Linked DNA regions of Notamacropus eugenii. The protein of the gene in region 2 purifies or fractionates together with the protein of the main gene of each other region. This does not show direct contact. Links are inferred from orthologs where the notes say so. Each region holds a gene or a part of one and is shown on either strand. Other genes may lie near its edges. The genes, in order: VAMP3, STX12, VAMP7 and VAMP8.

Region 1 (7,748 bases), about 22 Mb from region 2:
AGAAGCCAACCAGAAGGCTATTACAATCATGTAGGCGTGAGGTAATGAGGGCCTGGATCACAGCAGTAGCAGTGTCTTAGGAGAGAAGGGGGCATGGTCTAAGAGATGTTGTAAAGATAGAATCACCAGAACACGGCATAAGGAAAGATAATGAGTTTTTAGTTCTGAACAAGGAAATTAATCCTTATCAGTTCAGGGTATTTTCATAGTTAAGCCTAAGAATTGTGGACCACACCTTTGCCTCACCCCCATTAAGGACATAGTTAAGTTCATTTGCTATAATTATTGTTTCTTGCTACTTCTGAATGTAATTTTCAGGAATGAGCATTATTAAATTCACACTACCACTAAATAGTAGGTAAATGAAGAAATAACTGGGATAATGCTCATAGCTTTGAATTTATCTATCCTTCAAGGCCAAGATCAAATTTTATTTTTCTCATGAATTCAATTCAATAAATGTTTATTAAGCCTTTTGTGCATGTAAAGCACTTGAGTCAAGGCTCTTCCTAGGGCTGCAAAGCCAAGAAAAATTTAATAGTACCTACCCTCAAGAAACTTATGTTCTATTGGAGATAGAGAGCCATCACACACACAAATAAACACAAAGTATATGAAAGGCGATATAAAGTAACTGTGAAAGGAAGAGACTGCCAACAATGGGGAGGGACAGAATCAGGAAAGTTTTCTACTAAAAGGAGACACCAGAATGCTGCTTTGAAGGAAATGGCATTCCTTGACCACTCCAACCCAGAGTAGATACTTTTATTAGTTGATATTTAGTCAGACGATGACATGTAAGGTTATTTTTGCAATTTTTTCCCAACTGGAACTTAAATTCTTTGAAAGCAGAGACTGCCATGTAATTCTATGAATCACCCATAATGTTCAACATTATCTTGAACATATTGATGAGCAGCTATGTGATGCAATAGATAGAGAGCCATGCCTGGACTCAGGAAAACCTGAGTTCAAATATGGCCTAGATACTCACTAGTTGTGTCACCCTGGGCAAGTCATTTCACCATTTGCCTCAGTTTCCTCATTTGTAAAATGAGATAGAGAAGGAAACAGCAAACTACTGCAGTATCTTTGCCAAGAGGATCCCAAGTGGGATCATGAAAAGTCAGACATGACTGAAAACAACTGAACAACCACATAGTAGTACTTAGTATGGGGCACCTAAGGTGGAGAAGTGGATAGAGTGCTGGGCCTGAGTTCAGATCCAGCCTCAGACACTCACCAGTTGATGGACCTTGGTTAAGTTACTTCACCTCTGCTTGCCTCAATTTTCTCAACTGTAAAATGGGGCTAACAATAGCATTTACTTCCGAGGGTTGTTAGGAGAATGAAATGAGATAATATTTGTAACGACGTAGTAGGTATTATATAAATGCTAGCTGCCATTAATACTCTATTTTGGTGGAATGCATTTTCTTTCCTGAGAAGCCAACGAGACTATTCTGATTCTAGTTTCCTAGCCTCCTTTCATTCTCCAAACTTGAGCCCCCTGGGGTGCCAGATAGGATTCTTGGTAAAATCTTGGGTAAGCTCAGGAAAAATGCATTTAAAAGGTCACACTGTAAAGCACAGTCACCAAAGGGACCTTAAAATCCTAAGCCACATTCCTTCAAGAGGAAAAAGTGAACACTCCCAAAGTTGTGCACCGGTGACAAATGTCTGACTGCAGGGAGAAATGTTCCACAAGCACTCCACAAGAAAGTAACTCAAAATTCCTAGGAAGCCTGGTTCCTAGACAATAATGTTCATGATCTGACTTCTCCCTAAAGATCCACAGCGACCCCCTGGGGGCAGCCACAGCGACCCCCTGGGGGCAGGGACCCCCCCCCCAGTTCATGCTTCTTTACTCGCTTATGTAGGGAACCGTTCCAGCGCTGCCAAAGCGCCTCCCTGAGCCTCAGTTTCCCCCTCTGTAAAATGGGCACACATATCCCCGCCCCACACAGGGTCGTTCTCGGGCTCCAAGGGGACCCCGCCTAGAAAGCGCTCCGAAGGCGCTACATAAACGTCATCACCGCCGTCATCATCGTTACTGCTGCCGTGCCCACCACGGAGACCCTTCCAGAACGGAAAGGGCGGAGGGGGCGGAGGGGGCCCAGGAGGGGCCAGGGCCCGGGGCAGGGTCTCCCGCCCCCTCCCCCTCCCTTCCACGTCCAGGCTCCGTCCCCCCCGCCGAGGCGCGATCGGAACCCCGCCGCCGCCTCCCCTCGGCCGCTCCGGACCCCGGGGCTTCCCTCCTCAGACTGGAAGCTCCGCGAGGGCAGGGCCGGCTCTATTCGTAGGGCGCGTACGAGAATACAAGCGTACAGGCTGCGGCCCGCGTCAGGGCGTCCCCCGCAGCCCGGGCCGCACGGAGGGGGCACGCCCCGGCAGCAGCCGCGGAGCCAGACCCCCGCCCGCTCGGGCCCCGGAGGCGCGTCACTCACATCTCGGCGGCTGGCCCCTTCGTCGGGAGAGGAATCGCTCTGGCGGGCTCTGCGGGGCCTCGGAACGCGGAGGGTGGAGCGGCTCACGGACGCCCAGACTCCGTCTGCCTGCTCGCCTGCCAGACTGGTGGGCGGGGCGCGGCTGGTGACGCACCGGAGGGAAGAGGCGGAGCTTGGAAGCGAGGCGTACGCACGCACGCACGCACGTCCGTCTGCACGGGAGAGGAAGAGGGCTTAGACGCACGCGCGCAGGCGCGCGGGCACACCTCTCCCTGAGGAAGTCAGAAAGGGCGGAGGCAGGGGCGTGCGCGTGCGCGCCGACCAACGGACGGAACGGATTCAACGGGCGCTGCTGCCGCTCGCGGCGCTGTGACTGACAGAGCAGAGGGGGAGGGGTGGCGGCCGCCGTCCGTGCCCATGCCCTCCCTCCCTCCCGCTTCCCTCAGTCTGCCCCCCCGTCCAACTCTCTCTCCGGGCTTTCTTTTTTCCCCTCCCCTGGTTGAGTTTCTTTGGACCCTTGTAGGAAGCCGCAGGAATAGGCGGCCCCAGCGGGGGGAAGGAAGTGGCCCGGGTAAGTGAGGGTGGGGGCGGTGCCCTAGTCGGCCTCACCCTGGCCTCTGCGCTGACCCCTCCCAGGTGGGGGTGGGGCGGGGGTGGGATTGGAGAAGGCGGGACCGCGAGTGCGCGCATGCGCGCTGTACTCCCTCTGAGGCTGCCGGGAGGATGGTCCCTCTTCCCAGGTGAGGTAAGCAGTGCCCGCTGTGCCCCATATATAACCGTACAGGAGGGGTCCGGGCAGACCTGCATTAGAACTGGGAGGTATTTATGAAAGCCAGACGGATACAACGAGCTTGGCATTGCCTCCCATGTTAGCAGACCGCTTAATTCGTGCTTTTCCCCAGTCATTCCTAAATAAATGCACAGGTCCGAGCTGCGATAAGTGTGTTTTCCGCCAAAAGATTGGGAGGGACCCTGGCTCTCTTAGTTACCCCTTCGGTGACTGAGAAAGCAGCGTGCCCCATACGAATCTGAATCTGAATTTTCTCATCAAAACGAGTCCAGACTAGGGAAAGGATACAAGGGATGCCCTCAGGGAGCACAGAGTCATTGGAGACCTGACTGACAGCTGTGCACCTTTAGTAAGACAGCAGGTGTGAGGCTGAGTGCTGGGATAATCAGATTGATTCTGTCTTTTAACTGATCCTATTTTATGGTGACTTGATTTTGTCCAGTTATGGCCCAAATCGTGGTTCTTGTCTCTGAACTTAGTATGCAGTGAATTAAGGTTAAAAGTCCATTCTTGCCTCAAGGGATTCTGCTTTCCTTGGGGGATGCAGGTGGACATCAGGGAGTCTGGTCTGGTATTTTTACACCACCAAACTGCCCTTCAAGGGTGTCTGGTTTACTCTGCAAAGAAGTCTGGTCCACTTTATCTAATCTTGCGGGTAGACTCAAGGAACATTCCTTAACTACAGGAGAGGAAAGGGGTGTTTGTTGCTAGGCCCTGGTTCCCAGTTTCCAACCAATCGTGTTGTCGCCCCATGCCTCAGCTCTGTAATCATTCATTTTGATTTCACCATTCATGATGCTGAGCTCTTGTTTCCCGCCTAGGAAGTTATGTTCTTTGCTCTATACTCCCCAAAAAAGCTATAAAAGAGAACTATCTCCCACATTTGGAGGGATGTCTTAGCTTCGCTGAGGAAACTGTGATTGTATTTATTGGTAAATTCACACTTTACTAATAAATTGGTCATGCTTAGAAATTTGTGCCTCGGTTTACCTTCTTTTAACAGTTAAAGTAGTAACCTTAAAAGCAATAGGAAGAAAAGGGATTCCAAGAGTAGTCAAAGAAAGCTATGTTGGCAAGATGAGATCTGTGGTGGAATTTGAAGGATGGGTAGAATTTGGTTAAGTAGAGGGGAGTAAAAGTATTTCGAACCTTGTGAGCAAAGGTACAGGGCAAGAACAGTGGCCAAAGAATAATGAGGACATTTGACAGGAAGAAAGGGTGCGTATAGATGAAGTAGTTAATAAGACTGGATAGGGACACATTTTGGAGCAGAAGAATTGGGATTGGAGTTGGCAATAGGGAACCAACATAGGTTTGTGAACAGGGGAGTGACTTGATAAATGGGAATTTTTAAGGAAATTCTTCCACTAAGGCCTTGTGTCTTGGTTGTAGGTTCCTGAAGCTATGTAAGCAAAGCTTAGGTTTGGGGAGGCCCTCTCAAAACAGAAAGGCTCTGAATACTGGGTACCAGTTCTCAGGGTATCAGTCCTGCAAAGTTTGAAGAAGCCAAAGATGTGTGTGGTGTGGTGGAGCCTGGCTAGGGAGCCAGTTGTTAAAATGTCAGTGTGAACATTTACACCTTAACTTGACTGCTGATTGCCTGGACTTAAAGCAATCAAGGAAATGTTGGTAATTCAGACTCAACTTAAAAGTATGTCAAGAATACGTTACCCCTGCCCCCAACAAAAACAAAACAACAAAGGATTGTTAAACATTTAGTAGCACATGCTGGAACTGGGTCAAATGATGGGGCTGGACTAAATGACCTCTAAGGTTTCTTCCAGCATTAGGTCTATGATCCTATGAAGGGTGATCGTTTTTTTTTTTTGTCCATAACCACTCTTAGATGTGGTAGAGTTGTGCTCTGCATCTGTGGAAGGGCCCTGTAAGATATTAATGAAATCCCAGGTTGGAGTAGACTGGATTTAAAGTGGGAAGAGTCTCTTGAGGGAGAGACCAGCTAGGATATTGTTGCAATAATCCAAATGGGAAAGGTGCAAAGGGCCTAGGCTAGGATGCTGGCAGTGGGAATGGAGGGGAGCCCTGTAGAACTTTAAACAGCTTGCAAGATTGTCACTAGTGACTCAGAAGGCTTCATAGTTACATGTTTTTAATTCAGTCTGGTATTTTAAATACAAAGATTTTAAATGATTTCTCTGTAATTTAACCCATTTAAGTAACTTTATTATTTGCAAATTGAGTAGAACTTTCCTGAGATGTGCTTTGGAGGGCATGTGTGAATCATGTTCATTAAAGACAGATTCTGGACCCAAACTTTGTTTTTTGAAATGGATACGCTTGAAACAACATGAAGTTAAGCACAATGTGCCCTGGTTTTAAATAGCCGAGAAATCTAAATTAAGAACAAAACACACCAACACCTAGTATGGGGAAATTTTCTTCATTTTTAATTTACAGCAGAAAGAATATAAAGCATTCAGAAAACATTTTCCATATTTTAAGGGCAATTCAAAACATTTTGCATGGTTCCAGCAGCTGAGTTCTTCAACAGATCCATTGATTCAGTGATGCTTTACATGCACAATTACAAAAATAAAACTTACAAAAAGGAGACATCTAGACTAGTTTTACATGCAAGTCTTGGGGACCCCCCGTTGGGCGCCAACTACTGTGTGGAACTGCCATAAGCGACCGTGCAACCATAGAGGGGGTTCATGTTATAGTCTTTATTTCGTTCACACAGTACAGCTGATTTCAAATGTGTAATAATAGCAATTAAATTTTCAGGAGACAGAATAATATTAGCTATTAATTTTTATAATGAAATCCTACTCCTGGCACTTGGGAATTCAGATTATCCAAGAAAGCTGCGCTTACCTATCATCTTATACTCAAAACTATGATCCACAACCAAGAAAAGGGCGATCAGAAATGCATTCTTTCAGTGGAAGTGCATTTTTAGCTAACTCAGTGGTCAGTGGTGGGTTATGCAGTAGGCAGTAAACCTACTTTCTCTTCCCTCCAGGAAGACCCTCTGAGTTGGAAGAGTAACATTAAGTATTTCTATATCTTACTGAGTCTTCTATCTTGCCCATCTAATAAATGTATGTGAAACGTTTTTTTTGTAGAAATGTGAGGGTTAAAACAAATCCACTGAGGTCATTACTCTTGTTAAAGATCCATTCTTTTCATAACAAATGGAATAAACATGTCTAAATTCACTTTTAATACAGGACATTTCGAAAGATCTGGCCTTCACATTCCATTCCCATTTGTGTGTGCAATTATGTATATGTGTTTATGAGTGTATAATACTCAGTGTTCTCCTACAGGCCCAATTTTGTAAAATAATAGATGTTTTGGGACTGCAACAGCTGCAGCATGAGCCACACACTTAAAAAAAAAATTGAGTTAGGTCAGTTTACAAATGTACAGGTGGCTGTTCGTTGTGGGACTGTCACTGTTGTCAGAGCTGATCACGAGCAGTAAGACGTATACTGTACAGTAATTCAAGGTTGGCAGTGAAAGGAAGTAATTAAAAAACAAGTACAATTATAGAAAAGGCACCAAGAGCACTGACCCCAGTTTTTACCCCAATCCTTTTGTATATACCTTCCTTCCAAAGACACCAGTTTAAAAGCTTCTTATTTGTGAATATTTTTAGGCTTCACAACAAGCCTTGCATTTTCACTTACAGTTGATGGCCAAAATCAAGTAAGAACAAAACTAATTGTCATTAACTTTACACCAACTGATCTTCAGACTTAGCTTGGAAATTTTAAACTGGTATCAGCAAATACTAACTTACCCTCTCTTAATTTAACATTAGTAGTTTCTATTTTTTTTTTTAAAGTATCTGATTTCTTTGGCTCCTCATTATGTGGAAATAGTAATATACCATGACACCCCTACAAGACCAGTTTGCATCATTTTAATTTTAATTTTTTTAATTTTTTTGTGCAATTTTTATTACATTTTCTGACTTCCAGCAGGAGATATGAAAATGTGAAACATATTTTTCTACTTTCAGACTATTTCTTTTTTTTTTTCAGTTTATGTTCATTCTAAGTGTTCTTTATTGGAGTGAGTGGATGGTGTTAAGCTATATACTGGTTTTTCTTATGATTATCTGCTTTGCAAAATTAACTTAATTTTCTTAAGCAATATTAGCATTCACATTACTTGGCACCATTGGCAAAAAAAGTTAAAATAAAATTAAATCAACTCCCGGTAGCCAAAATTAAATGTAAACATATCCTTTTTTTTGTTTTTTAGTAATGTTACTCTGCCTTTTTTTCCTAAGTCTAAATACAGTAGCTCTTTTTTTTTTTGCAGTTTAGTCATGCTTTAGCAAAATGTTCTTCTAAAGAACATTTAAAATAAAGTACTCTTATAGTGAAATAAAGTTTTTGTTTCATTTTACAGACCATAGCCACTAATGCTTTGCTTTTTTTCATTTCTTTTTTTTCTTGAATTCATGCACATATCTCTGTTTTAATATATACAATATGTACAAACAATACATCCACACTTTTCTCGCTCATTCAGAC
Region 2 (7,080 bases):
AAATTTAATAAATAAAAGGATTTGTTCTGTAAAACTTGGACTCAGTCAAAAGGCTGTACGTGAGGACCTAAAAGGCCACATGTGGCCTCAAGGCTGCAGATTCCCCACTCCTAGAATTGGAAATTGAGGGAATTGAGAGTCATTCCCCCATCAATTGGGGAATGACTAAACAAGTTGCGGTATATGAATGTAATGGAATACTACTGTATTGTAAGAAATGATGAGCAGGCTGGCTTCAGAAAAACCTGGAAAGATTGATATGCACTAATGCTGAGTGAAGTGACCAGAACCACATCATTGTACACGGTGACAACACTGTGTGATGATCAGCTACGGTGGACTTAGCTCTTCTCAGCAATGCAATGATCCAAGACAACCTAAAAGATTCATCCTAGAAAATGCTGTCCACATCCAGAGTAAGAACTAAGGAGTCTGAATGCAAATCAGAGTGTACTATTTATACTTTTTTTGCTTGTTTTTTTTTCTTGTGATTTTTTTTCCCTTTTGTTCTGATTCTTCTTTTACATGACGGATGTGGAAATATGTTTAATATGATTGTATATGTATACCGTATATGAGACTGCTTGCTGTCTTGGGGAGCAGGGAGGGAAGAGGAGAAAAATTTGGAACTCAAAATCTTATAACATGAATGTTGATAACTATCTTTACATGTAATTGGAAAAAATAAAATACTATTTACAAGAAAAAAATCCCAAAACAAAACAAACCAAAAACCGAAACAACCCCAGGGCTGCAAACTCCAGGAGTACTTAAATGTAACAATTAAATTCAAAAACAAGTTCTGCAAGCCATCAGGAGACAAATCTTCAAATAAAATGTAAAGTATATTTGAAGAATGCAAGACTATTCCTCATCCACTAGAAAAAGGAGAAGAGAATGGAATAATGTGTTCTGAAGTGCATTGGAGGTCAGGATGCAGCCCAGAGTAACCTATTCTCAATATCTGAGCTTAACCATACAGGACAAAATATGGGTATATATAAAGAAGAGTTTGAAACATTTTTTAGAAAGAAAACCAGAACTGAAAAGATCATTTGCTTCTTGAACAACCCATCAACAGAATTCAGGAGTTAAGAAATGCAGATAATAACTGCAATAGAGTGACAACAGAAACACAGTAAGCGACTTCTTTCTAAATGGAGACAGGTAAAAATCTGGTAGTGGTAACAGTGAAGAGGCAGATGGGGACATCATGGATGGAACCTGACAATCAGGAGAATGCTTCCTTTTGTAGGACTACATTACAACACAGGAGGGTACGTGAAAAGGAGGCAGGGGGAGCAGGAGGTTAGAAAGAAATGAGTGTTGCCAGGGTCAGATCAAGGGTCAGTAATGAGGAGAATGTGACCTCTGTGGCTTCAGAAAGAAAAGGACCTACAGGAGAGTGGGTGAACAGGAGGAGGGAAAGACTGAAAAGGGGAGGAAAGAAAGGAGGGTTTACTTTGGAGGTACGAGGGAGTTCCCTGATGTTTCTGTGGGTGAAGGGAAATGAAGATACTGCACTTGATAAGGCCGAGGAATTGGTGCCTGAAAAGACTGCTTATCCTAGGATGGGGAGAAGGGGAATTGGAACCCCTGGGAACACTTGGAAGAATGGAAGAGCATGGACATAGGAGATTTTCAGGCAAATGTACGGAAGGGGAAAGGTCAACAAGAGGAGTATAGGTCAGTTGGGGGTGGGAGAGCACTACCAAGGGGCAGCCTCTCTTTGACACCTGCAATAATTGGCATTATTCTGAGCGTGAGGTATAACAGGAAAGCAGAATCCATAGGAAAAGCCCTACAAGGCAGAGGCAGAAAGTGCCTAGAGGACAGAACCTAGAATGGATACCCTGGAAGCTTTGATTATATGAAGACCACAGAGAAAAGAGAGACTAGTTGAATATAGATAGGGGTCTTAAATCAGATAATGAGGGTCTAGACTAAATAAAAGGAGATGGATAATGAAGTGAGAGAAATCTCTTTTTGGAAAAGGATGCAAAAGTGAAGTAATGAATTGGACTAGCTGAAGAAGTAATAACTTGATTAACTGAGGAAATAAGAGAGGGAAGAAATATATAATCATAACCAGATAAAAGCAGGAGAGTGAAACAAAACTCTAAAGAGACAGTAGTTAAGAAATGAAAAGGCAGAAGGAGGGGAATGAGGAAGAGAGCTGGTGGGAATAAGGCCACCTTCAAAAAAGATTAAAATAATGGAACATAATCCTGTGTATAACAGAAGAGGGAGAAAAATCATAATTATTATTAAAGAGAAATGAGAACCAGGAAAACATTATACACCATAACATCAATACTGCAACAATGATCAACCCTGAAACTTAGCTACTCTAATCAATTGAATGATCCAAGAGAATTCCAAAGGATTCGTGATGAAAGATGTGATCCACCTCTCGAGAGAGACGTAATGAATTGAGTGCAGATGGATGCATATTTTTTCACTTACTTTTTCTTCTTGTTTTTTGAAACATGGCAATATAGAAATATGTTTTGCAAGATAACTGATGTCCTATGGGTGGGGGAGGACTGGAAGGAGAGAGTTCGGAATTCAAAATTTTAAAAAATGGATGTTAAAGTATAAAAGATCATAGCTGTTACTAATGTATCAGAATATAATGGTCACTGCAGCTTTGGTCTTCTAGTTTGATGTGAACTTAATCAACATCCTCAAACCACCCTATGCATAGTTGAAAATACATTTTAAGGCAGAGAGATCTGCCATATTCATGTTTAACCTTTTCCAACACGGGCTCTCAAAATGCACATTGGGTTTCATCAGCATGGCAGAATACTAAGTGAATTAGATAACCTAGGTTTTAGCTTTGGTACTTAGTGACCTTGGGCAAGTCAGTTCTACTCCTAGGAGCTATATATACTTTTAAAATAAAATAAAAAAACTAAAATTTTTAATAAAATTTCCGGGATTAGAGGATCTCTTAAATTTCTTTCCTGTACTGAAATCCCAATTTACCAGTGTATCTGAGGCATCTGGAACAGGGCAAAGATGGGAAGCAGACTTTCCTGACAGGAACAAAAGCCTGAATTCTGAATACAGATTTGGAACCGAAGGGATCCAAAAGGGCACCTAACCCAAAGCCTTCCTTCTGCAGAGGAGAAGACTGAGGCTCAGAGCGGGCCCGTGACTGGTGATCCCACGTCCAGCACTCTCCACCGGCCCACGCTGACTGCTAACGCGGGGGGCCATTCCCCACGCTGCAGCGCCTGATCCACGTGGAGGAGTCACGTCCTTGGCTGGTGCTTACTTCTGCCTGCACCTCCGAGGCCATCACTTAATGCGGGACGTTACGGGGGCCGCCCTGGACCTACAGACTCGTCTTCGGTGTCAATCCGACCTGAGGGACCCCGGGCCGGTCACGTCACCCTGTCGGCCTCCGTTCCCTCGTCTGTAAAACGAGCTGGAGGAGGCGGCCGACCGCCCCGGCATCTCTGCCCAAAGCCCCCAGCGCGCCTCGACCCAGGAAGCACGTGAGGACGGGGAAGGGGCCGCGCCCCGCCTCCCACCCGCAGCCGGCATCCCGGCGGGGCCTGCGGGCCGGGGAGGTGACTGGGCCTTCCGCGGCCTTCCCCTCCGCCCGGTACCGCTGGAATGCCGAGCCCCTCCCCGAGGACGATGAGGTCACCCTCTGGGGCGGAAACGAGGCGATGGATGTTTCCTCTGGGGGGGCCGGCGGGAAAAGGGGTGCTGGGTCGGATGGATGCGATGGCCCCTTCCCTGTGGCGGCCCCCGTCCTGTCTTATGCAGAATAAAATCTGGGTCCAATGGACCCCACAGGGAAAGACTCCGAATCTCTCCCGGCATCCGCCCCCAAAGCGCGTCCTTACGTCACGGCTCCGCCGGGAGGCGGGGCGCATGCGCGCAGCGGAGGCCCGGGTGCGCACGCAGCAGTCTCCTCCTCTCCCTTCTTTGCGCCCCCCTCCCCCCGTCGCGGCTCTGTCCTCCTCTCCCGCTCCCTGTCACTGGTCGGCGGCTCCCCTTCCGGCTGGGGATCAGTCCGGATCGACCCCGGCCCGGCCAGGCAGCCCTCGCCATGTCGTACGGGCCCCTAGACATGTACCGGGCGGCGGGGCCCTCGGGCCCGCAGGGCGCCCAGCCCCGGGACTTTGACAGCATCTTCAGCACTTGCTGCGGCCACATCCAGAGGATCAGCTACGCCAGTGAGTGGGGCCCGCGGGCGGCCGGGGAGGGGGCGACCACGACGGGTGTGGCCGCGGGAGGGCTGAAGGCCCCCGGCCCCGCGCCGGGCCCTGGCTGCCTGCGGGGGCGAAGGCGCCGCCCCGCCTGCTCAGCTCTGCCCCCTTCCCTCCGGGCCACGCTAGAGCTGATCGATCGGCAGGTGGGGAAACTGAGGCCCGAGAAGGGAAGGGGCGAGGCCAAAGCAGAACCAGCCGGAACCTGGAGCCCCAAGCCAGGCTTGTGCTCGCCCCAAACTGCTTTCCTGGGCTTGGAGTCCGGTCCTGGGGCTGCCTCGTTTGACCAGCCCCTGTTCTTCAGCCTCCAGCCACCCCTCCTGTCCTTCCCAGTCTGCTCGGCTCAGATTATGTGTAACAGTGTAGCTTCCGAGTCTGCATTCTCTGTGGTCCTGGACCAGCTGGAATTCAGCGCAAATGTCAGCTAAGGTGAAGTGAAGGTTGCGTGACCTGAAACACCTCCTGAATGTCATGGTCGTAAGGATGTGGAGGGGTATGGAGCCTATGGGTTTGTCTTCTGTTTTAATTTCCCTTGACAGCCCAAGATCCAAGGAGTACAGCTTGTTTTATTAATCTCCTTGGAAGCTTTAAATTCAGAGATTTCCTCGTAGTCCATCCAGCTGTTAGACAGCAGCAGTCAGTATTTGGTTTTGATCGGTCTTATTCGCTGTTTCTTGAAATGAATTTCATATACAGAGAAGTTTAGTGACTAACTCCAAATCGCATAGGAGTGTATGTCAAGCCACAGTGAGAGGTTCTGTGTTTGGGACTTGTCTTACTTTCTCATTATGTAATCCCTCCCCGATGTGGGGGGAGAACAATTTAAAAGTATCCCCCTTCCTGAGACAAGGTCAAGTAGCATCATCTTTGTACAGAAAGGTATGCATTTTAGGGGTTCCAGCTATCATCCTAGACTAGTTGTTAGTAGTCATTGATCTTGAATGATTATATTTATCAGTTCATATTAACAGCATATTTATAAAGCTTATTTAAGATTTGCAAAATCCTTTCCTCACAACAATCTTGTGAGGAAACAAAGTATCTTATCTCCACTTTCTATACGCTGGTTCCTGATCCTGAGACCCGTGCTGTTTCTATTACCTCAATGCTGAAGTTTAAAGAACTGTGTCACATTTTGCTTTGCCTTTAATTAGTTGTTTAAGAAAGCAAGAAACAGTATGTGGTAGAGAGAAATTCTGAGTCAAGTAAACTAAACTTACTAGCTGATTTTCCCAGTTGTATTTAGAGATGGCTGGCTGTAATACAAGTTAACCTCACAGCCTTGTTACAGGATTCATGTATTTCAAAATATATGCAAGATACAGCTCTCTCACATCTTAGTAGATAGTCCTCAGGGGTTACTGTAGCACAGAAATTCGTATTTGTGGACAATAAATCTCACCAAACTTGCCTGAAGTAGTCGTTGGACAGTAAACTTTTGACCCCTGAGTTTGCACTTGAAACTTAATTTTACTTGAGAGATCTTGTGGAGCTTGTATTCAACTAACCTAGCCTTTGAAAACTCGGGATCATCTCCATGCCATGATGAGACACTGGAAGATGATCTTAGTGACAGGCTGCTATGATCAGCTACTAATAACTCTCATTTATATAGTGTTTTACTCTTTGAAGTATATAGTGCAAATATTAGCCCTAGTTTACTAATTTTGAAATTGAGGCTCAGCTAGGTTAAGGGACTGGCCAACATCCCAGAGCTAATAAGTGAAAGACCTGGGGCTCAGAATTATGTCTTCTGACATTTCAATCTCTTGCTCATTCTGATCCTGTGTATTTAATTTCTTGTTCTTTGGTTTTGACAGTGCAGATATAATAGACTAAAGTTCATTTTAAACATTACCCAGAATTAGTTTTCACTGGGGAAGATTGGCAAGCAAGGAGTAACATTGTTATCATTTCTTAATTAGCAATATTAGAGGCCCATCAATGTTACTACTTCAGGTGAATGAGTGAACTTATTTTTTCTCACTTAAGACAAATTTGAGAATGGGAACTCTTTTTTTCCCCCAGCTTCACCTTGCCAATTACCATTGTAGGATCTTTTTACTTTTCTCTCATTCTGACTTTGAACCCTCAGTAATTCTGGCTGAAGTGTCTGTCCTCACTTGCTGCTCTTTGTGGAGAATCTAAGATGCCATTCGGAGATGAAATAGGAAGAATACCTTAACTGTTTCCTTATTTGTCATCTGGCTACATTCACACACACATCCCAAACTTCTCCGCGTTTTCCTGCCTCACTATACTCACTGTATTATACTTCAGTGAACTGAAAGCGTGATGCTCAAGAAAATAATTTCTTGTCCTTTGTATTAGATACAAGGATAAACAGAAGACATCGTACCTACATTGTCCATTTCTAGTTTGTGGTAGAGCCAGGCACTCTCCACATTTACGATGTTTGCAGTTGTAGTAACATTGTTAAATCTTTTTTTCTGGATAATTTTAATTGCAGTTTTTTTAACTGAAAATGCAATTTTAATTTCTGTGCTGGTATATTTGGGAAACTGCAGGGTCATAATTACCGCATATCTCCATAGTCTGACTAATGTACTTCAGTTGTTTTCTTAAGATACTGAGTCATCTGGTGGTTCAGATGCTGGAGAGCTGTTGTCAGTATCTTTCCTATCAGTGGACTTTATGTTTTGAATGGATCAGAGTTCATTTGGACACTGTTATTCTCTGAAGCCCCGATGTTAAATTATGGAAAATATATTCATTTTAGAACACTTTGATCTTCATTTGAATCATAGGATGTTAGCACTGAAAATGTTTTTAGAGGTCATCTAATCTCATCTTATAGATAATGAAATGGAAACATCAGCTGTTGTTAGAC
Region 3 (6,990 bases), on a different chromosome or scaffold from region 2:
AGCTGTCCCCCAAGCCAGAGATGCTCTCCTTCCTCCCCTCCACCTACTGACCTCCCTTGGCTTCCTTTAAGTTCCAAGGAGCCTTCCCCAACCTCTTTTAATTCTAGCACTTTCCCTCTATTAGTTACTTCCTATTTATGCTGTGTATAGCTTGATTTGTATATATTTGCTTGCATATTATCTCTTCCATTAGATTGTAAGCTCCTTAAAGGCGGAGACTGTCTTTTGCTCTTTTTGTACCCCCAGCACTTAGCTCAGGGCCTGGCACCTAGTAGGTGATTAATAGATGTTTCTTGATTGATTGACTAAAAAGGTGAAAAGGAGACAGGTACTGAAGTGCTTTAAAAGATAAAAAGATTTTATGTCTGATCCTGGAGGTGACTGGGAGTCACTGAAGTTGGGGGGGGGAGAGAAAGTGACATGGTCAGAACTGCTCTTTGGTTCCCCAATTGATAAATGGTCAAAAGATAGGCACAGGCAGCTTTCAGAAAAAGAAATCAAAGCTATCTATAGCCATATAAAACAATGTGCTAAATTGCTACTGATTAGAGAAATGCAAATTAAAACAACTCTGAGGTACTACCTCATACCTACCAGATTGGCTAACATGACAGAAAAGGAAAATGACAAATGCTGAAGGGGATGTGGGAAAATTGAGACACTAATGCACTGCTGGTGGAATTGTGAACTGATCCAACCATTCTGGAGTGCAATTTGGAACTATGTCCACAGGGCTATCAACCCGATCTAGCAATTACAACTACTAGGTCTGTATCCCAAAGAGTTTAAAAAAGAAGGACCTCTTTGTACAAAAATATTTATAGCAGCTCTTTTTGTGGTAGCAAAGAATGTGGAATTGGGGGGATGTCTATCAATTGAAGAACAACTTGTGGCATACGATTGTAATGGAATACTACTGTCCTATAAGAAATGACAAACAGGATGATTTCTGAAAAACATGGACTTATGTGAACTGATGCAAAGTGAAGTAAGCAAAACCAGAACACTGTACACAGTAACAGCAATACTGTATAAAGATTAATTGTAAATGACTTAAGCTATTTTCAGCAATACAACGATTCAAGATAAGTCCAAAGGACTCATGATGAAAAATGCTATCCAACTCCAAAGAAAGATCTGATGGAGTCTGAATGCAGATCAAAGGATATTATTTTTCATTTTTTTTTGGCCTGTTTTTTTTCACAATGTGGCTAAGATGGAAATATGTTTTGTATGATTGCACATGTATAACCTATATCAAATTGCCTGCCATCTCAGGGAGGGGAGAGGAATGGAGAGAATGTGGAACTGAAAATTTTAAAAAAGACTGTTAAAAAATTTTTTTACATGTAATTGGGAAAAATATTATTCAAAGAAAATATAAAATAAAATAAACAATAAAATAAATGCCTTGGTGGCAGATTAGTCAGAGTTGAAGTATTAAAGGTAACATCCACTATGATGTCAGAAATAAAAAAAAAACTGCCCTTTGGGTACTTTGACAACTAAATGGAATGGACTGGGGAAAAATTTGAAACAAGGGCTTCAACAGAAGGCTATTTGTCAAATTCCAGATGTGCTTATCAGATTTAGTCAGATGCTTAAAACATTCTTGATGAAAACTGTTGGCACTACTACGTAGAAGTATCTTAAAGTATAACGTCAGCTCACATCAGCAGTAACCTCTCAGACCAAAACACCCCTACCTGGCTACCAATGTACAATATGAATTGTTTGCTCAATTAGAATGTGGGTTCTTTCAGAGCAGTGAGTGTCTCTATCCTGTATTGCTACACACCCAGGACTTAGCACAGTATTTAGCACACAGTGCCTCAGTGCTTTCTTCCTAAATGTATCATTCCTTCCTTTATTCCCACAGCTTTTGCAATCAGTGACAAATCTTTGTCCCACACTGGAGTGGGGCTTGTGGGTATGGAGGTGATACCCACATATCAACTTTGAAGATCAGTTTATTTAAAATGGAGGTAAACAGGTTAATCACTAAATTGGTGGCAAGCAAAAACATCTGTCACAGCAACTCCTTTTGGAACAAAGAAACATAGTTAAGCAAAACAAATCCACACATTGCCCATGTCCTTTTAGATCTGCCCTCCAAACGCACCAGCCCTCTCTGGTGGTGGTCGGTATGTTCCATCGCGAATCCTTGGTGATTGTGTTGACTGTTGACAGAACTGACTGTCTTTACAGGTTTCTACTGTATATAAACTTTTCTCCTGGTCCTGTTCCTTTCACTTTGCCAACAGTTCCTCTAAAATCATCCCCCGCCTCAACACAAAGGTCTTGCCCATCACCTTCATAAACCAGAACTTATTCAGCCATTACTCAATGGATGGGCATCCCCTCAGTTTCAGATTCTGTGCTTTTCTTTATGTTTGTGCTTTTAGTCCCAAACCCACTCGCTAAACCGAAAGGGGGTGGGGGGGATGTCTCCACCACATCAGCTGGAAGCTATAGACAGTCCTCCCCCTGAGCATCTCACGATTCTTCCTCTCGGACAGACAGGAGGGGCCACAGGAAGAGACAGGAAAGGAAGGAAAGAGGCTCCGGGTAAGGGTGGGGCCTACGACCCTAGTGGGGCCCAGGTTCCACCTCTCCCCGCTCCTCCCCCCACAAGCCCCGCCCCGCCGAAGAGAGAGAGGGGAGGGGGAGATGGGGGAGGAAATGGGGGGTAGGAGGAGAGGGGGCGGCCTCCCCCAGAGCGCGCCAGGGGAACAGGGAGGGCACCTACCTCAGTGGCAGCAGGGCGGTCCGCCTGGGCGACCCCAGTCGGCAGCAGAGGCTCGCTCGGCCCAGCTCGCTGCGCTGACGGGGAAGGAGGGAGGGACGCAACCCTAGGTGCGTACGTGGGGACGTAGGGAGGCGTATACGCGCGCACGCCAACGACCAGTTGAGCCAATGGCTCTTCCCTCTGTAACAGAAAGCGACGACCCGGGAGGGGGCGGGGCGGGCAGAGCTCCAAGCCGAGCTCCGAGCTGGTGCCCGGGCTGCGCAGGCGCACTTTCGCCCGCGGCCTTCTGGGAAAGGGAATGGAGTGGGGGGAGGGGGTGTTCCCCCCCTCCCCACCTTCTCTGAGGTCACGATGCATGCTGGGACTGGTAGTTTGGAGCTTCTGCCCGACCTCCTTAGAGGCGGAATGGTCCTGGAAAAAAGGACTTGTCTGGCCAGTCTCTTGACCCCAGTCAGCTGAAATGGACCTCAGGGTGATCTAGTGGCTGAACCTCTGAACTGTCAATCAGGAAACCCCACACACTTATTTGCTCCACCTACTGGACTGCAGAGAGCATTTGTCTCACTCTTGGCCTGGCTCGTATATAGAACAAATAAACAGTGCATAACGACAAACTCCTACACTGCACGATCAATCAACAAGCATTTATTAAGTGCTATTCAAAGACAAAAATTGTCCCTGCCCTCTTGGCTATGATATTCAACGAATGGGTCAACATGTGTAATATAGGTGGAGACAAATGGATATGAAATACATGCAAATAAACCCATTCATACAAAATAGATGGCGATAGGTAGATATGAAATAAGTGCAAATAAACCGATCCATACAAGATAGATGGAGGGAGGGAGGGAGGGAGGGAGGGAAGAAGGAAGGGAGGGAGGGAGAGAGAGAGAGAAACAGAAAGAGAGAGATGAAAGAAGTGCAAATAAACCCATCCATACAAAATATCTACTAAGTAGCTAAAAGTCTACTTCTCTTCCACACCCCAGAAGTCCCTCCAGACATAGCATGTATCCAGGCACATCCCTTGACAAAAGTATAACAATAACAGTTCCCTCAAAACGTTGCATTCACTTCCTAGCAACAATAGACTATTAACAATAGCCATCATGTACCCACGTAGAAATCCCAGATTCAGGGGCTATGATCACTTCTAGTGCTCAACGATAGAATGCTGAATCCAATGTGAACGTGAACTTGGACAGGCTGGGAATTTGCCTCTTTTCTGATAAGCACCTCCGGACCAATCTGCCTGCTGTTAAACCATCATGGAAAAGGGTTAGTGGACTGAGTGACAAGAGTGAGCAAGGACCACTACCTGTATTGTACAAGTAGCCAATTACCCAGAGTAAAGACAACTTCAGAGTTCATTGGCAAGAGCCCAATGGCAAGAGAAAGGCCCCAGGAAAAGATAAACACAGATGTGACACCAAAGCACTGTGAGATAAAAAAAAAAAAAGCCCTAAGTGGAATTCAGTACGAAAGCAGCCAGAGTCAGTGCAAGAACCCAACAAGAAGGCAGTCTAGAGTTCAGCCACAAAAGTACCTAAGCAGAGTAGAATTCAGGACCTCCTGGCAAGAATCCAGCACAAGGGAGTAAACCTTAAGCCTCATAACAAGAGAGAGGCCCAGGTAACTGGGGGTCCCAAAAGCAACAGAAAAATGCCTCAATGGCAGGCCCAGAGGCTGGACCACAGCAGAAGAAAGGCCTGGAACAGAATCTAAACAGCTTCAGCCCAGCATCCAGAAAATCTCTCCAGAACAAAAGGAGAAAGGGCTAGTCAAATCTAGCTCTTTGGAGCCTATCCGGTCTACCCAGGAGGAAAAGTTTGGTCCTGGAATTTGACACCTCAGGCACTGAAACTGTTATGAGCAAAAGAGAGCAACCCTACAAAGTCAAATTGAGCCTAGGAGTAATAGTTTTTGTTTCCTCTTGGCCTAGGCTTTTCCCCTTAATTTCTTTTTTGTTTTATTACTATAGCTAGTACTTCTAATTTAGTCTTGAATAGTAATGGTGATAATGGACATCCTTGCTTTACTCCTTATCTTATTGGAAAGGCTTCTAGTTTATTTTTCCCTTGCTCTTGGTTTTAGATAGAGTCTACTTGCTTGTCCTTCATTCTTGAAGAGAACCAGAATGCCATCACAATGTTTGGGGTCAATATACAGTGTGTCTGACCAATAATGAGCTTAGAAAACTAACAGAAGTCAAGTATAAATAGTCTGTGTGAACATTCAGGATAGAGATATCTTTAAATCCACACATCTTACCTTTGTTTTGAGCTGGTTTTATTCTCTTTTGCTCATTGAGCAGAGCACCTTCTTTGAAGCTAACATGCCATGCTGGATAGTCCTGTGCTAGTCCTATGCCAGTCCTGTGTCCCCCCTGTTTCACAATTAATACAATTTTTATCCTTATAATTTTAAGGAAAGCTCCATTTATTCCTATGCTGTCTAGTATTTTTAAAGAAATGCATACTGTACCTTGTTGTTTTTCTGCATCTTTTTCTGCATTTTTCGTTTGAAATAACCACGTGATTTTTGTTGCTTTTATTGTTAATATGACCAAATTTTCCTCATATTGAACCTATTCTGCCTTTTTGATATAAAACCAGCTTGGTCAGAGAGCATGATCTTTGTGATGTGTCGCCATTGTCTCCTTGCTAATATTTTATTTAAATTTTTGCATCAATATTCATTTCGGAAATTTGTCTATAGTTCTCTTTCTCTGCTTTGACTCTCCCTTGAGTAAAGCATCAAAGACACATTGAAATAATTAGTTGAGATATCAAGAACACAGAAGGAATTGGCAGGACCCTTTCTTTACCTACTTTTTCAAGAAGTTAATGTAGTATTAGAATTTATTTAAAAGTTTGGTAGAATTCTTCTATAAATCCGTCTGGTCCTGGGTATTTTTTTTTTGGTAATTCACTTATGACTTGTTTAATTTCTTTTTCTAAGGTAAGATTATTAAGTAGTCAATTTCCTGTACTATTGATCTGCATTATTTATATTTTTGTAAATATCCATTTCATTTAGGTTTTATTATTATCAGTATTACTGTATTAACATGTAGTTGGGTGAAATAGCTTCTAATAACTGCTTTTATTTTTTTCTTCATTTGTTATGAATTCACCATTTTCTTTTTGATCCTGGTCATTTGTTTTTATTCTTTCTTTTTAAAAATCAAATTACCTAATGGATTATCTACTTCATTGTTTTTTCTTCAAAATAACTAACTCCTAGGTTTTATTTTTTATAACATTTTTTTAGCTTGCAATTTTGTTCATCTTTCCTTTGGTTCTCAGGATTTCTAGTTTGGTGTTTAATGGAAGGCTTTTAATTTGTTAGTGTTCTAGTTATTTTTTTAATTGCATGCCTGATTCATTGATCTGCTTTTCTTCTTTTTTATTGACAAACACATTTAAAGATCTAAAATTTCCCATATTTACTACTTTGGCTACATCTTACAAATTTTCATATATTGTCCCATTGTTGTTACTATTATTAATGAAATTATATATTTGTTTTCTAATTTGTTCTCTAATTTACTTGCTCTTTAGGATTATGTTATTTACTTTCCAACTGATTTTTAATTTCGCTTTAAAGGCATGTTAATGTAATTTTATTGCATTATGGTCAATAAGAGATACATTTAATATATTTGCTTTTCTGCATATGTTAGTGAGCTTATTATGCCTTAATATATGATCAATGTTTGTTAAGGTGCCATGCAATATGGGCAAAAGTATATTCCTATTCATTTTCATTCAATATTCTCCAGAGGTCTATTACATCTAACTTTTCTAAAATTATTTTCAAGTCCTTAACTTCTGTTTTGTTCATTTGTTGTTTGGGTTTATCTAGATGTGAGAGGGTTCAATTGAGGTCCCTTACTATCTATTTCTTCCTGTAACTCATTTAACATTTCCTTTTAGAATTTAGAGGTTATACCATTTGGTGCATATATGTTTAGCATTGATGTTAATTCACTATCTATGGTACCTCTTAGCAAAATATAGTTTCTTTTTTACTGAAGGCTGTTTTTGTTTTTGCTTTTTCTGAGATCATGATTACTATCCTTGTCCTTTTTACTTCAGCTAAAGCAAAATAGCTTCTGCTCTCATCCCTTATTTTAACCCATATATTTATACTGATAGCACTTACTTTATGTAAGTGAACCTGTTCTGTGAGGAAGGGAGGGAGGAAAGAGAGGCAGGAAGGGAACTGCAGACCCA
Region 4 (7,080 bases), on a different chromosome or scaffold from region 2:
AGTAAATACAAATCATATAAATACAGTAAATAAGGAAAAACATAAAGTACTTTCAAAAGGGAGATGGTGCTGATAACTGGGGAGATCTCACTGAGCAGCCTCAGGGAGAAGGCGCCACTAGTGGTTCCAAGACTCTGAGGTGAGTACATCTCCCCTCTTCTCTCAGAAATTTCCTCCTGGAAAAGTCCTGCTTCTATTAGATTATAACCTCATTGAGGACAGAGGTTATCTCTTGCTTCTTTTTGTAAACCTTAGTGCTTAGTAAGGTGCAATCAATTAATCAACATTAAGCTCATCTTCCAGAGTTCAAATCCAGCTGCAGACACTTACTGGCTGTGTGACCCTGGGCAAGTCACTTAAACCCTATTTGCCTCAGTTTCCTCATCTGTAAAATGAGTTGGAGAAGGAAATAGCAAACTGATCCAGCATCTTTGCCACAAAAACCCCAAATGGGTTTTTGAGTCAGACATGACTGACAAAGACTGAACAACAACAACATTGTAGGTGCTCGATAAATGTTGGTTGATTCCTTTCAGCTGCACTTCGTGGCTGCTTAGAAATGAGTCCAGCAGTTCTAAGTTACCCCCTCCCCCCACTCCTCGGCCCCCTTCCATCTTCAGCCGTTGAGCCACAAACTTCTGCTTTTTCCACTCCCAACCCCCCAGTGGCCCAGGACGAAGGGATAGGGGGGCTCGGGCCACTGAGGATGTTGGTGCCAACAGTCAATAAAACTGTGGGAGACAAAGAAGGCAGGTCTTCTTGAAGCGTAGCCTGTGACTTTGTGATACCTCACGTGGTATGGAACAAGCCTTGGCATGACAGTCATTGGCCTTGGGTTCAAATTCCAGCCCTGATTCTACTGGCTTCTGTTTAATCTTCACAACCACCCAGTGAGACAGGTGCTATTATTATGTCCATCTTTACAGATGAGGACATTGAGGCTGATATTTAAGGGTCACACACACAGCTATTAAGTGTCTGAGGTCACTTTGAACTTAGAAATTCCCAAGCCTGTGTTCTACTTTTATCTATCCACTCTAGCCAACCCTGGGCAAATCACTTTATTTTGATTAGCTTCCATTTCTCCATCTGTAAAGTGGGGATAAATTGAGTGCTGGCCCTGGAGCCAGGAGAACCTGAGTTCAAATCTGGTCTCAGACACTTGCTAGTTGTGTGACCCTGGGCAAGTCACTTCACCCAGTTTGCCTCAGTTTCCTCATTTCTAAAATGAGATGGAGAAGGAAATGGCAAACTACTGCAGTATCTCTGCCAAGAAAACCCCAAAGGAGGTCAAGGAAAGTCAGACACAACTGAAACAACTCATCAACAAAGAGGGGATAACTGACTGCTACCTCAGTGGGTGTGGGGGTAAGGATCAAATGGGATAATGTATATAAGGTGCTTTCTAGATTGCAATGTGCTATAAAGTTGTTTATTATTATTATTATTATTATTAAAGACTAAGTGACCTGCCCCCTTCCCTTTCAGGCAGAGGGAAGGACTAAGTAGATAAAGCTAAGGGAAAATTGTTTGAGGCCCCCAGTTAAGGGACCGCCCCAAGGTCACAAGGCTAGTAGAACAGTAACTTGGTAGCTAGAGTAGCCAGAGGCTTGGAGAGATTACGTAAGCATGCTTTAAAGGGAAGAAAAGCAATCATTCCTGGTTCTTCCCCTTCATCCCCTCACCCCCAAAGCCTGGGTAGGTAAGGTCTGAAATCATGACATCACACACTGAATACAAATTCCACATTTGAGGAGCCAAGGCTGATCCCTCCGGACAGAAAGAGTAATGAAGAAGGGGTCCTAGTTCCAGCCCAGCTCACCCAAGCTGATCTCAAGCTTCTTCCCCAGCCCCCAAACCACAAAGCTTTTGCATTCATATCAGAACTGAAGGAAGAAGGGGGGAGGAGAAGCCGCCTCCAGCCCTGGGTAGTTCCATTTCTGTCCAGCTGACCCAGCAAGTTGGGGAACACCGGAGCCCCAAGGGAGCAGCTGGAGCCCTTGGGCCTGGAGGGAGAGGCCTGCCAGGCTTTGGTCCCTCTCTGGCGGGGTGGGCAGCCAGGCTGGGCTCTGCTGCTCCCGGGATCGGGGAGTCCTCCTCCCTCAACCTCCGCCCCCACAGGAACTCGGCCAACCATTCCAGGAAGAATTCCCGGTCTTCGGGGCCAGCAGGGAGGTCAGGGAAGTGAAGGCCGGCAGTGGGGAAGGAGGGGGTGATCAGAGAAGGGAGCAGCCAGCCACAGCTGGGACAGCCCAGAGTCAGAGTACTGGTCAAAGGACAGGAGCCACTGGGGGCCTTCCCGCCTTCTCTCTCCTCTAGACCCTCGAGATGATGGATCGCCACTCTCTTCCCCCTCCCTTTTCCTCCTGACCCACCTCCCAGTCCTTCTCCCATTCGAGGCCTCCCTCACTCACCATCTCTGCCTCCCGTCCAGCTGGGGCCCCTCAACAGCTGGGACAACAGCAGCAAAGGACTGGCTCGGGTACTTTTCTCCCGGGGTGCGCTCAACCTACTTCCTGCTTATTCCAACTTTCAGCCCGCCCCAAAGGCTGAGCTCCGCTGCTGCGTCGGTCGGGTCTACACGGCCGGTCCCAGACTGGGCGGCTCTCGAGGCACACCTGGATCCACAGGTTACATGAAGGAGGAGGCGGGGCTGGCCACCTTGGAGCCTCCCCCAGCCTTTCCTCTAGCAGGGCTGGAGCTTACTTAAAAGACTTAGGGCTTCCTGAGCCCCTCCAAGACTCGGAAGCGCACATCCAAGGCTCCCCAGAATGTCCTAAGAACCTGAGGGAACGAATCCCGAGTCGGCTACCTCAGCGGGGAAGACAGCTCCTGCCGCCCCCCCACCCCCTCCACTTTCCCCCCAGGCTTTCCAGGCTGTTCTCACCCAACTCTCACCACCCAGAAAAGAACAGAGATCACTTTTCATGGAAACATTCGCAAGTTAGAGCCGGAAGGGATGTTAATAGCCACAGGCCAACTTCTTAAAACCCAGAGAAGGACTAGACTCAGAACCCACCGTCTTCTCTCACTTTCTACTCTTTAATCAAAACTACAATTCTGGCAGATTAATATGTGAATGTGGTAGGCTGACATCTGGCCCAAGAAGATAGAAAATTGGCCTTGGAAGACCTGGGTTGAAATTCGGCCTCTAACACCCACTGTCTGCTTGACTGTGGGTAAATCATTTATTCCTTTGGAGCCCCAGGTTCGAAAGATGGAGTTCCCCTGAAGTTGAATGGGAAAATCCTTTTAGCTTTATTTTCATTAGCCTCTAACTAAATTTAAAGTATCCTTCAAATATTTAAAACATTCTTCTAAGAGATCCATAGATTTTGCCAACACATGTGAAGGGGCCCAAGACACACGAAAAGGGGAAGGACCCTCTGTGTCAAGGTTCTAAACAAAAAATAAGTTGCTCATCTGCACCTGCGGCAGGAATTACAGTCCTCTGATGAAATAGTACAAATTCAACATTTATTAAGCACCTACTACATGCCAAACAGCCAGGGTTGGGGAACCTTTAGCCTTGAGGCCACCTGTGGTCCTCTTGGTCCTCAAGTTCAACCCTTTGACTGAATCCAAACTTCACAGAAACAAATTTATAAACAAATTTTCAGCCTTGAGGCTGCAGGTTCCCCACCCCTGGAACCATTTATTAAGTCCCTGCTGTGGGCTAAGCATTGGAGTTGCAAAAACAAAAGGAAAACAGAAACTGAGTTCTAGGAGTTCATATTGGAATGGGATGGGTTTAGCAAAACAGAGAGGAAAGAGACGTTTTGAGGTCGATTTGGGCTGGACAGCAGTAGTGTCTGGGGGGAATCAAGAAAAATACCATGGGAAAGATGAGGATTCCAAAAGTCAGGACGTATTAGAGTGTTAGAACAGCAAGGACTCCTTGAGGTCGATGAATCCAGTTCTCACATTCAAGGTCACCCAGACAGTGGCAGAGCAAAAGCATAGATTCTGACCAAAACAAAAAAAATCAAATCCAAAATTAGAAACTAACTAGGTTGTTTGTCCAAGAAATGTTGCTATGCCTTGCTCTGCTTGAGGTACGGATCTTAAAAAAATGAAGGCACCCTTATTTTTAGTGCAAGGTAGCTGGTAAAAATAAAAACCCTGGATTAGGGAGTTCAGAGACCTGGGCTGGGCAATTTCGGGCATGTTGCTTCACCTGTGTGCCTCAGTTTCTTCCTGTGGCAAAATGTTTAGAGGTTGAGGCTAGATTGTTAGTATCATAGTGCTCCAAGACCACCTAGTCAAACCCCCTCATTTAAAGATGAGGAAACTGAAATAACCTCTAAGATAACTTTTAGTACTGAAATTGTGATTTCTGTTTCTGCAGTCTGAAGCTGGGGTTTTGTTGGTTTTTTTGGGAGATGAGAGTAAGGGGCATTGGCTGAGAAGTTAGAGATACCTCCAATGGAGGGAGGGTTGCCCTGTGAGGGAGGACAGCTGCCAAGCCAAAGGTTAAGACAAGGACTGGAGAACCAGAAAGCTGGGCAGCTGCCCACACAGTGAGCCTGATGCAGCTGGAAATGGGACAGATAAAGGGAGAGGGTCTGCTCTTTGCTGGACACACCATGCTCTCTCTTTCTCTCTGTCTCTCCCTCTCTTTTTCTGTCTCTGAGCTTAGAGCAGCAGCCCCCCTAAAAGGAAGATGACAGTAATTCTGTACCTCACTCCAGAATTACACCAGGTGACAAGAAATCCTGTCAGAGGCACCTTCAGAGAGTCCCCAGTGGCCTGGAGATAGAGGCCTCAAGGGAAGGATTTTTTTCCCACCCCTGGCTCCCTGCCAAAGGAAAAGGCGATTGCTGGTCTTCCTAAATTTTATCTTGGTGGGAGAACATAAAAGGTGTCCTATCTCAGAAGACAGAAAAAGTTCTGGGATGATTTCTGCAGCTGAGAAAAACGCATTCCAGCCTGATGCTAGGATTAATTAGCTTTTTCCTTTTGGTTGTCAGGAGACCCAGATAGGAGAAGGTGATGGCTGGATATGCCAACCTGCCTTCAGTTAGAATGAATGTGGTCACGCCACACTGTAGGACGTTTGACAGCTTAGTTTAGAGGGGGCAGGGTGTGACAGGAAATGGCGGCTCTACCCAGCTGGAGAGCCAGCAAGCAAGAGAAGGGGAATGCCAAGCATACCGAGGAGGGATGTGAGTAGAGGCCAAAGACTGCCATTGACACTCTGGCATGTGTCCCAGGCAAGAGGACACTTGGCCTGGTCCCAAAGCTCCCTACATCCAGGGCCTGTCCTGACTATATTGTCACCCTCATCTTCCTCCAGATGGACACTGTGCAAATGTAATTATAACTCTGGAAGTGAAAACCTGGGCCCCTCAGAGGCTAAAGTGCTAAGGCAGATGATAATGACTTTGGCTCAAGTTATAAGAGACTTGCTAATTAAATGTACAGAGACCTCATTACAATAACAGGGCAGAGGGCAGTAAAGGGGAGTCAATATTTTCATTGCTTAGTAGGGATTATTAACTCATGTCCCACTGAACTTGGTTTAAAAAATATTTTGACAAATGTCTTTTAATATAGTCAGTTTCATCATAATACTGTTTTGAAAAACTGATCACCCTGAGAACGAGTCCATAGGCTTGGCTAGATTGATTGCAAAGAGGGCCAAGACATTCTTGGAGACTAAGAACTCTTGGAGAGTGTGCATTTTGAACATGGTCCTAGCTCATGGTCAAGGAAGTTATCTTCCTCTAAAAGAAAGATCACTTTAGGACATTTGAGGAGGGAAATAAAGACTCCTGGTGGGTTGGGGGTGGGGAAGTGAAGTTAGTGAGAGAAGGCGTGACAACTCACAGAAGCAACCAGGAGGATTCTGGGGTAAATGGTAGGTTTGGTTCCCAGGAACACAAAGGAAACAGGTCTAGATAAAACATAGGCTTAGGAAATAGAATCTGACTAAATTTTGCCCCTCTCTTCTCCTCTATTCCCTCTCTTCCTACATCCATTTTTTTCAAGAAATTAGAAAAAGAAAGAAAAAAAACTTTTTGTAACAAATATGCAAACAAATTTTCAAACTGATCATGGCTGAAAATGTATTTTTCAGAAGGTGGGTAGCACATTTCACCACTCATTCTTGGCTGGTTGTATTGATCAGAGATCTAAAGTTTTTCAAAGTTTGTTTTAATAGTCTTTTTGTTATTGTGTAAACTGTCACACTGGTAGGATCTGATCCAGAGATGTCCCTCTGACCTGGTCTTCCATGGACACCAGGGCCTTCTAATGGTCCAGATTAATCAAGGGCTTTGGTATGGGATCCCCAGGTTAATCCCTTGAAGGGATAGGAACCTCATCCCAGCCCCCAAAGTAGCCTTCCTCCTTCCTTGTTTGAGATGACACAGAGATAAACTAGAGTAGGGGTGGGAAACCTGCAGCCTTGAACATGTGGCCCTCTAGGACCTAGAGTGCTGCCTTTTGACCGAATCCAAACTTCACAAAACAAACCCTTCCATTATGTGTTTCCTCATCCCTGGCCTAGAATCTAGGCCCCAGACCCTCCTAGAACGGACCAGGTAAGCACTTGCTTCAGCAGCTTTCACCCCCAAAATAAATTCTGTTGGTTTTTTTTTTCATGACTGGCTTATTCATAGGCTAATAGGAGCATAGATTTAGAGCTGGAAATGACCTTGGAGCTCATCTCATTTTAAAGATAAGGAAACTGAGGGATTGGGCTGCACTCCTGACTCTCTGAATCATGCCAAAGAAATCACTTCTGGAAATTCACTCTCCCCCTGGACTTCTCACACTGGAGGGACTTTTGGCTCACAACTTCTCTGTCTTTGGCTCTTCCATTTGGAGAAGGATGGCTAAGGCAGTTATGCCTTTGATTCTCTCCAGGTTGCAATCTTGAATCTTTAGACTTTCTTTGCCATTCTTTACCCTGCCCCCAACTTGAGGGTACCTGCCCCTCCAACCCTTTACAGTTTTGTTTTGTTTTTTTACATAGGGTCTTCCCCCAATACATTATAAACTCCTTAAGAACAGGATGAATTGTCTTTCTGCCTTTCTTTGCATTCCTGGATTGGCATGTAGGAAGCTCTTGTTTAC

Evidence for each region.
Region 1: the proteins of STX12 (region 2) and VAMP3 purify together in Homo sapiens (affinity purification with mass spectrometry; 3 studies listed by BioGRID and IntAct, counting the BioPlex papers as one, with this or other methods). This does not show direct contact. The link is inferred for Notamacropus eugenii from reciprocal best matches to the Homo sapiens genes STX12 and VAMP3.
Region 3: the proteins of STX12 (region 2) and VAMP7 purify together in Homo sapiens (affinity purification with mass spectrometry; 3 studies listed by BioGRID and IntAct, counting the BioPlex papers as one, with this or other methods). This does not show direct contact. The link is inferred for Notamacropus eugenii from reciprocal best matches to the Homo sapiens genes STX12 and VAMP7.
Region 4: the proteins of STX12 (region 2) and VAMP8 purify together in Homo sapiens (affinity purification with mass spectrometry; 3 studies listed by BioGRID and IntAct, counting the BioPlex papers as one, with this or other methods). This does not show direct contact. The link is inferred for Notamacropus eugenii from reciprocal best matches to the Homo sapiens genes STX12 and VAMP8.

The regions. Positions count from the first base shown.
Region 1 is NC_092876.1:46,453,356-46,461,103, reverse strand, and holds the start of VAMP3 (vesicle-associated membrane protein 3), read right to left. Parts: upstream 3,021-7,748; 5' UTR 2,450-3,020; coding exon 2,448-2,449; intron 1-2,447. UniProt on the Homo sapiens protein: SNARE involved in vesicular transport from the late endosomes to the trans-Golgi network.
Region 2 is NC_092876.1:68,874,853-68,881,932, forward strand, and holds the start of STX12 (syntaxin-12), read left to right. Parts: upstream 1-4,067; 5' UTR 4,068-4,069; coding exon 4,070-4,196; intron 4,197-7,080. UniProt on the Homo sapiens protein: SNARE promoting fusion of transport vesicles with target membranes. Together with SNARE STX6, promotes movement of vesicles from endosomes to the cell membrane, and may therefore function in the endocytic recycling pathway.
Region 3 is NC_092879.1:11,730,242-11,737,231, forward strand, and holds the start of VAMP7 (vesicle-associated membrane protein 7), read right to left. Parts: upstream 3,019-6,990; 5' UTR 2,750-3,018; intron 1-2,749. UniProt on the Homo sapiens protein: Involved in the targeting and/or fusion of transport vesicles to their target membrane during transport of proteins from the early endosome to the lysosome. Required for heterotypic fusion of late endosomes with lysosomes and homotypic lysosomal fusion.
Region 4 is NC_092872.1:726,536,955-726,544,034, forward strand, and holds the start of VAMP8 (vesicle-associated membrane protein 8), read right to left. Parts: upstream 3,004-7,080; 5' UTR 2,418-3,003; coding exon 2,415-2,417; intron 1-2,414. UniProt on the Homo sapiens protein: SNAREs, soluble N-ethylmaleimide-sensitive factor-attachment protein receptors, are essential proteins for fusion of cellular membranes.